Mus musculus: one gene and its partners. The protein of the gene in region 3 interacts with the protein of the main gene of each other region in a pairwise test. Links are inferred from orthologs where the notes say so. Each region holds a gene or a part of one and is shown on either strand. Other genes may lie near its edges.

Region 1 (3,648 bases), on a different chromosome or scaffold from region 3:
TAGAAATAACCAACAGATTCTGGGGTTGAGAGGCCTGGCCTGGCTTCTGACCCTCCCCTTTACAATGCTCAGAATACCCTTGAGTTCTCCATCCAGTGTGTAGAAGAAGCTCTGTTGTTGCCTACAGTGGTTGCCCCATACTCACCGCTCGGTAGAGCTCCACTGCCTGGCGTACATTCCCCTGGAGCTCTGCCACGAGCTGTTCACACTGTTGCAGACTCAAGGCCAGTTCTGAAGGACAAACACCAGTGAGGCCCTGCTGCTTTTTCAGGCATCCCAACCCAGGGCTCTCAGAGCAGAGCTATAATCCCTACCAGCCGACAATCCTGGCCTCTTGTCCCACCTTCTTCCAACACCTTCCCCAACACCACACAAAGTTTAGAAGGAAAAGCCAGCCCTAGTATCCAGACTAAAGGGTTCACTGGGTCACAGGGAGATTATGAAGGGTGGCAAGAGTGTCTCACCATCAGAGGTGTGACTTATGGACCAAGACAGGAGCAGACAGGACAAAAACACCAAAGGCCAGGCACACAGAAATGGGACAGAGCCAGAAAGTAGCCAACAGAGACAGAAAGGATGGGCCAGGTGAGACTGGGGAGCCATGCACACCTGAGTCCTGGCTCAGGGCTACCCCTGGCCTGCTGCTTTCCACTGGGTTACGAGTCTTCTCAGGGGACAGGGGCTGCAAGCTCTCAGGGCCTTGGAGAAGGTTGTTGACTGGCAGTTGCTGGGCACAGGGGTGGTTGGGTCCAGGATAAGCCTGGCACTCTGTCCTAGATTTATGAGTAGTACCCTCCCCTAAACAGGAGTGCTTTTCAACTGTAGTATGAGCCTTTCCTAGGCTCACCAAGGGGCCCGATTGTTCTGTTTCATTGTGGGCCAGGCCCTTGGATACAGGTGAGAATGTGGTCAGAGTAGGACGGTCAGGAAGTGGTTTGGGGATGTCCAGGACAAGGTGAGCCCTGCTAGGCAGAGCTAGTTTGTTGAATGGTGAGATTCGGATCGGTACAGGAGCTTGAGGTTCAGTTGCCAGGCCCGGATTCTCGCCAACAGAAATACTACGCGCTAGCTTGGCCATAGAACTGGTGGTGTGGTTCTGGTAGGAGTGGGGCTGAGATGAGCAGCCACCAGCTTGTGGCAGGGATCCTAAGCTGCCCTGGGTCTCTGCCTCCTGGAAGAGCAGTGGACGTGATGAAGGCACCTCATCTGCATTGGGGACAGGGACAGATGCAGGTCGCGTGGTGAGGAAAGTGTGCAAATGCTAGGGCTCAGTCCCCAGTTGCTACTCTCCCCTGTGTGTAATCACTAAGGGACATGCAGTGGCAAGCATGGTGACATGCCAGGGCCACACTAGACCCACCTTCCTCCAGCATGCCCACATATATGTCTCACATCCCCCACAACCTGTAGTTGAACTCATCAAGGTTCCTTACCCTGTGGTACCAAACTATGCACAGACTGGGCTTTCTGGAGTCCAGCTAAAGGCCGGGTTGCAGCCATTTTCTTGGAGGCCCAGCTGTTGTCCAAGTTGTTATGCCGTCGTGTCAACAGCACAGGAGCCACCTGCTTGGGGCCAGAGTTGCCAGAAGAGGGTTCCATTTCTGGGGGTGCTCCTGGAGGAGTGGCACCACTGCCTTTCAGCTGCTCACCAGACACCTGTGATACCTGGTCAGGTCTGGACGTCAGGGCCAAGCCTGAGGAGGATAGGGATGGTTCCCTACAGGGAGAATGGGTTCAGAAGAAGGCCCAGAGAAGGCTCAGTGCTTTCCTCCCTGAGCTGGCCAGATGCCCTCACAGACAGAGATGCACCAGGAGAGGACAAGCACAAAGCAAGACAGAGTCTGCGTGAGACCACCTGCTTCAAATCTAGGAGTACAACGTCCCCTTCTGGAGAGACATGAGGAAGGCTACATGCTGTGCCAGGTGCAGGAGCACCAGGTGAGCAGAGCCATGTGGGGTGGTCCGTACCTGAGTGGGGAGGTCTGCACTTGCAGAAGGAATCGTGATGAGATGCTCTGAGACTCTGTCCTCTCTAGCACCCGTGCTGGGCCCCCTGCAGGAGGCACAGAAACCATGAACTGAGTCAGAAGTTTAGTTCTTGCCCGAGGTCTTTGCAGCCCCTACAAAGCAACCTAAGGCACTGCCTACTGGACCCTCCCTCTCAGCTAGGGGACAAGGGCAGATGTGGCTGACTGAAGGCTGGCCCACAGACCACACCTGGAGCAGTCCCATTGGCCAGAGTCTCAAAGTGCTGTTTTAGAAACTGTTCCTGATCTGGGGTATGAGGGCCGCCTTCTTGTAGCCCACAGAGGCCAGTGCCTCCCTCTTCTTCCTCGTCTTCATCACCCTCGGCTGGCTCTTCCAGGTCTGAGGAGATGCCATCCACACTTAGGGGCTCTGTGCTCTCAGAGTCTGGATGGGGGGGAGGGGAAAGGCATCACACTGTACCTATCGGTCACAGGTCTGCCTTCCCTGCTTCACCCCGTTGTCCCTTCCTCATGGTACAGCCTTACCTTCATTAGGGTGTTCAGGGCTGGAAAGCCGGCTGCTGCTGTAATCCACAGAGCATGCACTGTCAGGACTGTGCTTTTCTGAGCCCCTGCTGCCTGGGTACATTCTTCCTAGGGATCCTCCGGTTGGAGCCTGCACCTGAAACGCACTGCCGGAAAGGCCAGCAAAGGAAGGAAAGACAGTGAGCAGGGGTCAGCAGCTCCACTCAGCTCCTGCCTGTGACCACTGCTAGGGAGGTGGTGGCCTGGAGGCCAACCACTGCCCACGTAAGAAAACTCAGAGGGAAAGGAAGTGTAAGGGCCGCAGAGCCCATGAGTTCTGGCCAGGGCACAACCCTTGCCTGGTATCCATGGTAGGGCTGTCACTGGGTTCCGGGTAGACAATACCATCTTCAATGGGTGCAGGCTCCAGATCTTGGGCAAAGACTCCTTCCTCTTGTGACAACAATTGGATAATGTGGGGGCAGGAGCAGGGTTGGGAGGTCTGAAGCCGAGGGGCCCTTTCATTCTGGAAGCACATAAAGAAAGGGGTACTTGTGAGGATTGCTGGCGTGAGAAGAAGGTGCTGGTGAACAGCAGTGCTGCGGAAGCAGAGTGTTGTAGCTCTGGGGACAGGAAGCAGGAGGCCAGGCTGGGCTCAGCTGGAATACTAAGCCTCTGGAAGAGCTGTTTTGGCACTCGGACTGCCAGGCTCTTGCTACTCAACACCAAGAATCCTCCCCAAAGCTCCCTGTACCTCTCGGCCCACCCCACTCACAATACAGCCCAGTCAGTTCTACTACAACTGCATTTCAGAGGAGACTTCCTGTCTCTGTGTCTTCTGTGCACAGAAGTACCTAAGCGCAGGCCCCGGCTGTTAGCACAGGACCGGCTGAGGCTTCCTGAGACCTCTAGAGAGCTGGGAGAAAGATAGCTCACCTGACTGACACATGACAGCTCAGGGCCCTGTGGACCATGCTTCCCAGGACCAGCTGGGGACACAGCCAGTGAGTCCTGGCTGGGGCCTCGAGGGCTTGGGGCTAAGGTCTCTATCTGTCTCAGGTCCAACATGGAGCGAACACTCAGCTCCACGCCTGGCTGAGCCCAGCGCCCTCTTCTTTTAGGTCCTGTGTTAGCTACAGGAGCTGGGTCCAGGTAC
Region 2 (3,648 bases), on a different chromosome or scaffold from region 3:
AGATTGCTTCCCAGCTTAGGCAGCTGTTGATTCTTCTTTTCAGCTTCGCATAAGGAATCCAGCTTCGATGTCATTCTGTCGGGTGTAGTCCCAGGAAGCACCTCTCTGCACAGTGCTGAGGTTCTGGCTGAGATGGCCCGGATCCTCCGGCCAGGGGGCTGTCTTTTTCTGAAAGAACCAGTGGAGACAGCTGAAGGTAAGGGTCTTGGTGCTCAGAAGGTGAAAGTTTAGCACCGCCGCGTCTGTGCGTGCGCACACCATCTCCCTGAGACTGTGCCTGAGGTACTCCTGTAGTATTAGTCTCTCAGGGGTGGGTGTTAGAGTCTGAGGCAACAGAGCTGAGAAGATGTGCTCTCTGGTTGACCTACAAGATCATAAGTAGAAGGAGATTGCCACCTAAAATGGCTGAATCTATCACCAGATGAACAGTTCATCTTTGTCATGTTTCTGATAGATAGAACATTCCAGCACTGAGGAGGAGCACACAGCAACTTCCTGTGAGTCTGTGGTTATTCCACAATACAGAGTTTTAAAGCAATGGCTGGAATCCTGGGAGTAAAGAATAATATGTGAGGCTGGGCGTGGTAGCACACGCCTTTAATCCCAGCACTTGGGAGGCAGAGACAGGCGGATTTCTGAGTTCGAGGCCAGCCTGGTCTACAAAGTGAGTTCCAGGACAGCCAGGGCTACACGGAGAAACCCTGTCTCTAAAAACCAAAAAAAAAAAAAGAAGAAGAATATGTGAGAAGCTTAAACTATTCCGAGAATTCCAAGCTAAAACTAATCCAAGAACTAAAGCCTTGAGGCTCAGTAGTGTAGCTGTCAGAATTGTTAATCCTGGGTTTCTAGCTTTTTTTTTTTTCTTCACTGAATTCAATCAAGATGTAGAAATATTCCACCAGAAACAGTAAAATAATAGAAATGGAAGTATTTCAGAGAAAATAAAAATGTACTGTGTATGTATAGCTGTGACCTTGTTATGTCTATGGTAGACACAAGCTTTCTTGCTGGAAACTTTTATGATTTTTAAGAGAGAAGAAACGTGTGTACATTTGTGTATTTGTGTGTGTGTATACATGCCTGTCTGTATGTGAGGATACATGAACATGAGTGTAGGAGGCCAGAGGTATTAGACCCCTTGTATGGTTAGTGGATCCGCTCCGCAGGACTGGAGAGGCAGGACATGGGAGTTTGACTGTGCTTACCCCACGCCATTGCTGGGTGGGTGCCAGCCTATGGGGATGCTGCAGGACACCGTTTGGGGTGGTGTGTGTGTGTGTGTGTGTGTGTGTGTGTGTGTAGCTCAGTCTGAGGTCCTGGGAACCGCTGGCTGCTCTTTAGGCAAAAGCTTTCTCCAGTGCTCCCCCATGGTAGAAAGTAGATGAGTAAAACAGTACCCCACTTCTTAGGGTGGGCCTGAGGTTAAATATCTTTTGTAGGGAGGAGTGTCTGGGAAGGAGAGTTTATTAGCTAAGTCCTCAAGGCCTTTACATACCTCATTAAAATGGAGATCTGTCTTAAGCCTATGCGACCACAGGGACTACTACATGTGGAAGGGGTTGGGGCGTTTTCTTACATGACTGAGGCCACAAATCTATGAAGGGCTGAGGCCTCATGCCAAGAGCCTGGTTTCCTGGGGTGGCGGCGGTGGCGGCGATACACCTTCCATCCCTTTAGAGTCACCAGGGTTTCTAACCTTAGTTTCTTGCGCGCTCCACTGGCCAGGAAGAACGACGCTGCAATAGGATCCTTCTGCACACGTTTATTGGGAGAGCTTGATTGTAGAGGCGAAAAGACCCCGAGCCCAGAACTGGTGCTGCTTTTATAGGCCAAGGAGGGGCGTGTCTCACACCCGGATTGGTTATGCACTAAGCCTCATTTGCATGTTCCTCATCTGATTGGCTACTCTCTCTCAGTACCTTACAGAACCTCATTATCATACCTCATTTGCATGTCTCACATCTGATTGGTTATACTCTCAGTACCTTACAGAACCTCATGATCATGCCTGAGCCAGGCAGTGTCTTTGCAAAAGACTTCACTGCATACGTACACATTGGTTGTTTGTCCAGTCTTATGCGTGGTGGCCAGCAGTAGTCAGTGCCACTCAGCAATGGCACATGTGGCTTCCCACATAGTTCAACCAGGAACCAGGCTGCCTTTCATGGTCCTACAACCCCCACCCTGGAGCTTAAGTTAAGGTTGTTGTGAGCCTTCTGATGTAGATGCTGGGAGCTAAATTCCCATTCTCTGCAAGGGTTGTGTGTGCTTATAACCACTGGGCCATCTTGCCAGCCTGTTCTTGCTGGAAATTTAAACCTTGAGTCATAAATGGTGAGAGACAGTACTTAGGTTTCTGTGTACTTCACAGTTTATAACTTTATTCATTATCTAACATTCTTTGGGAGGGGTTTCCAAGAAGCAGAACAATGAAATTATGACTTGTTCTAGCCTAAATAAGAATACTTGGGGTACTGGAGAAATGGCTCAGCAGACCTTCCAGAGGTCTTGAATTCAATTCCCAGCAACCACATGTTGGCTCACAACCATCTGTAATGAGATCCAATGCTCTCTTCTGGAGTGCCTGAAGACAGCAACAGTGTACTCATATAAAATTAATTAAAAAAAAAAAAAGAATACTTTGAACCACCAAAAGATTTTTCAAGATAAATGTTATCACTAAACTAGTTTTCCCAACTTTGACATATGGAGCCATTGATGGAGGTTTTCCTTGACAGTTAACAATGACAAAATGAAGACGGCCTCTAAGCTATGTTCAGCCCTGACTCTTTCTGGCCTCGTGGAAATAAAAGAGGTAAGTGTGTCGATATCCATTTTTGTTAGGTAAACCTTGGGTGACCCAAACCTACAGAGTGTTTGTCAGTAATCCTGGGGCAAGTGAGGTGATAGGCGCTGTGCAGAACTAGGAAGTAACGTGATACTTGCTGCCTGAGAGAGAGAGAGAGAGAGAGAGAGAGAGAGAGAGAGAGAGAGAGAGAGAAGGGGGGTACAGGATGCTTTGAAAAAGAAAGCCTTGGGAACAGGTTCCTTCTGAAGACTCGGTGGTTTGCACTGGTCTTCCTAGAGCTTTTAAACAGTGATGTGCTGCAGGGAGGACGGCGACTGACTGCTTCTGTCCCACTCAGTGTATACAGCTCTTAGGCTTCCATGGAGTATTGTCCCTTAGACCTTTGGTGGAGACAAGACTGTGGAAGGGGGTGTGCACTTATGACAGTTGAGTAGAGAGATATGTTCAAGCTAAGATAGGCCTTTGTTGTTCCATATTTTCTAGAAATTAAATTTTAAAATATTAGCATTTTCTTGGTTTGAAAGACATGTTAGTCCGTGACAACTGTATTGTTATATTCCTGCTTTTTTTTTTTTTTTTTAAATGTGATTCAGGCCTTTAAATTCTCTTTTTGAGACAGAGACTCATTGTTGGATGTAGCCCAGGCTAGCCATGTGGCTGGCTTGGTGAAACAGTGAATGGAGGAGCGTGCACTGATTCGTGGGATGTCTTCAATTGCAGTTGCAGAGGGAGGCCTTAAGCCCTGAGGAGGTACAGTCCGTGCAGGAGCACCTGGGCTACCACAGTGACAGCCTGCGCTCAGTCCGTGTCACTGGCAAGAAGCCAAACTTTGAAGTGGG
Region 3 (3,648 bases):
ACAGCCTCACAAAAGGTACTGGCTGAGCGCTAGCAGCGTTGACCACTTCAGCTGACAAAGTTTGGCAGCAGAAAGACATGCACCCTGCTGAGATGCTGATGGTAAAGTCAAGCAAAATGGAGATTACTTTGTTTGATCTCCATAAGCACCAATTAAGGCCTGGATAACTTCCTGATACTACTACAGCTTCATTAGCTAAACTAGAAAAAAAGGCTTAACTGTCCCCTTGCTGCAGATGTTAACATCAAAAGAAATTACAAATAAAACTGTTTTTGAGTTCTTTACCTGTTTGTTTCCTTTCATAAAGAGCATCACGGAAGCTTTATTGGTCAGCACTTTGAGCCTGAAGAGAGAAAATTGATATAAAATGGCTCAGCTCAATTATTAAACACCACTTCTGCTCTGCTTCCTGAGTAGCAGGCATATCTGAGGGATAGCAGGATGACGGCTCACAGCTTTGAGTGGTACTAAACAAGCAAAAACATTGACACTTTCCTTTATTTCATTCTCTCCCTGAGCCACTGTAAAACATAATATGGCTTTTTAAGGCAACGAATGTTCTTTCAAGTTGCAATTTAAGCCCATCAACTTGTAGTACTAAAAAAATAATAATAACCAATTCAGCAAGGAATTATTCGATGGGGGGCCTGTATAGCGAGCCATCTACCAGTTCCCCAAATGAAGCAGTGAGCGCTTCCCATCACGATGTGCATAATGCTCTTCACACCAGAGCAGGGCAGTGAGCCTAAGAAAGCAAAATCTTAGTCCTCCACCCACCACTAACCAGGAAAAATCAACACTTCTCATTTTAACTTTATATGTCACCTGTCAAAAAGCGCAATCTAACTTGCTCTCTATCAGGATTGTTAATAACCTAAGTTTGGAACAAAGTTTAGTCACAAATCTTTAGAAAAAAAATCAGTGTACAGATAATGGGTCGTATCATTTTTCTCTTCTCTCTTCTCATCTGTGGAGGCAGCACGAGTCAAAATCGTGTAGAAGCAAGCTGACGCTGGTCAGGTATGCCAATCCCAGAGGCCAAGCTCACTCACCAGAGGATCTAACCACCTAGATCCATGCATCACAGGCCACTCGGCTGTCTAAATACTCATCATGTCACTAGAGAAGAGCTCTTTAGATTACTACCTGAAACATACAACTCTATGCTGTATGTATCTGTGCATGCCTGAAGCGGGGAGAGCTGTAAACAGCACTTTAAGACATGGCAACAGCAGCAAGGACAATCTGGGGGATGAGATGCAGAACCATCCTAGAAGCAGCACAGCCGGGGGGGGGGGGGGGAATATCATGGGCCATGATAAAGACCACAAAAGGGTCCGTGTGGTATCCACAACACCACGATCTTCTCACCACTACAAAAGGGTGCAGACCAATGGCATTGGCCAGCATGACATCTATAGAATACTGCTCCTAAGGAGTACTTGGATTAAGTACAGACAAACAATCTTTATTAAATATTTGTAGAAATTCTCAAAATGTGAAAGAGCAAGCAAATTACAAACTCAAGGCCCAACTAACAGTTGTTGAGCTCTGATGCATTTCAAGATAAATTATGTTTAATTAATTAATATAAAAACGTGAACTAATAAATTCACATTTATTACAACAGAACCTCCTTCATATATCCCTCTACAACAAAATCCACCATTTCTACACGACTTCTAAAGCAGGCTGTACTCTCTCATAAATAGAAAGATGGTTTCACAGCTCCAGAGTCTGCCTGAGTTTTGTGACTATGACTCAGGAAAGCCTCTGAGAACCCTAGCTTTTCCCATTAAACTCTTACCACATTTAGGGACTGAGCTGCACACAAAAACACAGAGGTGCTATGCTCATACAAAAGAGCAAGAACCAAATAGGACGCTGACCCACTGAAAGTAACATTTCTACAGCACCAAGTCTACTTACTCTTCATAATTGCTAAATCAGGTAAAACATCTCCAGTCCAAACGAGAGCATCCAGAGTTTGCAAAACTAGGTACTGAGGAACACCACATTATGACCCAAATACTAACTAAACACTAAGTAAATGTTTGGTGTCTACTCAGAAAGAACAGCACACTAACAGGATGTATAGACTGCTAAGATGCACAGAGCACCCTGCTGCCGGGTTCCCATCACTCACCTTTCCTCTAACTTGGGTGCTTTGGGACAGATCGTGTCCAGCTCTTCTGATGCTTCCAGCTCCTGAAAGAAGCACACTGTGACTACATAAACCACCTGACCACCCCCACTGTGCGACACTGACAAACGTCGATCAGAAATACTGAGTTCATTAGTAAACCCCGAGATACAATACAAAATATGTGCTTTCAATTTATTACAGCACTTTTAGGAAAGTGTGCTCTGAACTGTCTTTATAAGAATCTAACCTTAATTATGTCAAGTCCTCCTATTAGCTCTCCAGAAACATAGAGCTGAGGATAGGTGGGCCAATTAGAGTACGTTTTGAGCCCCTGTCGAACTTCTTCATCTGAGAAGATATCAAAGCTGCTGAACTGAATATTGTGTTTGTGAAGGATTTCCACCATCTGCTTGCTGAAACCTGCAACAGAACAAGGAGTAGAGACTCAGCATCTCTCACGTACCACCCAGTGTCCAGGGGACAGAAATGCCCACTCGCCCACACAGTGATTACCACCCAGTGTCCAGGGGACAGAAATGCCACCTCCCCCACACAGTGATTACCACCCATTGTCCAGGGGACAGAAATGCCACCTCGCCCGCACAGTGATTGCCACCCAGTGTCCAGGGGACAGAAATGCCCACCTCACCTGCACAGTGATTGCCACCCATTGTCCAGGGGACAGAAATGCCCACCTCACCTGCACAGTGATTGAATCAGTATAACTGGATAATTTAAGACAAAAGTAAATGCTAAAAATTCGTTTGACCCAGAGTCTCACACAGAGCATAATTACAGCAAAGTGTGTGTGTTTATCAAAGCTGCCCTTTAATTGGGGACACAGCATTAGTCAAAGAGCAGAACCATGAAAACCCACCACAGGCTCCACCCTGACAATGACAAAGCTCTCTATGGCTGCTCCCTCTCCCTTCAAGAAACTGACCAGGAGCCTGAAACAGCTGTTTTAACCACTGCTTGACTACAGTGAGACCTAAGTGCAGTCCTTCCACCACACCAGGGAGCCTGTGTACACACTTCTGCAGGCGCTTCTCATCTCCACCTCTGTCTGAGCAGGATGGATGGCACTCAGAATCACAAGTGCTCTCTTTGGGTGAAGTCAGCAGCCAGTGTTCACACTCTCTTTGTTGTTACATGAATCACCTACAGGCTGATGTGACTCCACCTCAGCCTTTGTTGAAATTATTTACATTCCCTTTAGTGTGCAGGATGATGATTCCCTTTGAAGGTACACTATAGTGACAAATCTGTCCCAGGAGTTTAGAGTTTGGTGAAGCCATCTTCTGCCAGGGTTCACATCAGTCTTATGAACCTATCTGTCCAGGCTGAGAAAAGGTCACTTTTCTTCCCAGCTGCAAATTCTTATCAATTAGCACCTCCAAGTCCAAACCACTTTCCTCTTTCTCACTTCACCTTTCTTTGAAAGATACTCTTAATCCACTGGAATGTAAACTACTCTTCCTTTAAGATTTCCCCACATCAGC

The links.
Region 1: the proteins of Glrx3 (region 3) and Mapkbp1 interact in binary tests that used the Homo sapiens proteins (3 or more experiments, as listed by UniProt). The two-hybrid records come from large-scale screens. The link is inferred for Mus musculus from reciprocal best matches to the Homo sapiens genes GLRX3 and MAPKBP1.
Region 2: the proteins of Glrx3 (region 3) and Ciapin1 interact in binary tests that used the Homo sapiens proteins (3 or more experiments, as listed by UniProt). The link is inferred for Mus musculus from reciprocal best matches to the Homo sapiens genes GLRX3 and CIAPIN1.

The regions. Positions count from the first base shown.
Region 1 is NC_000068.7:120,021,101-120,024,748, reverse strand, and holds part of Mapkbp1 (mitogen-activated protein kinase-binding protein 1), read right to left. Parts: coding exon 3,429-3,648; intron 3,019-3,428; coding exon 2,852-3,018; intron 2,660-2,851; coding exon 2,514-2,659; intron 2,413-2,513; coding exon 2,218-2,412; intron 2,054-2,217; coding exon 1,969-2,053; intron 1,718-1,968; coding exon 1,434-1,717; intron 1,207-1,433; coding exon 610-1,206; intron 232-609; coding exon 146-231; intron 1-145. UniProt on the Homo sapiens protein: Negative regulator of NOD2 function. It down-regulates NOD2-induced processes such as activation of NF-kappa-B signaling, IL8 secretion and antibacterial response. Involved in JNK signaling pathway.
Region 2 is NC_000074.6:94,828,321-94,831,968, reverse strand, and holds part of Ciapin1 (anamorsin), read left to right. Parts: intron 1-43; coding exon 44-196; intron 197-2,738; coding exon 2,739-2,815; intron 2,816-3,529; coding exon 3,530-3,648. UniProt on the Homo sapiens protein: Component of the cytosolic iron-sulfur (Fe-S) protein assembly (CIA) machinery required for the maturation of extramitochondrial Fe-S proteins.
Region 3 is NC_000073.6:137,458,041-137,461,688, reverse strand, and holds part of Glrx3 (glutaredoxin-3), read right to left. Parts: intron 2,567-3,648; coding exon 2,394-2,566; intron 2,209-2,393; coding exon 2,147-2,208; intron 344-2,146; coding exon 286-343; intron 1-285. UniProt on the Homo sapiens protein: Together with BOLA2, acts as a cytosolic iron-sulfur (Fe-S) cluster assembly factor that facilitates [2Fe-2S] cluster insertion into a subset of cytosolic proteins.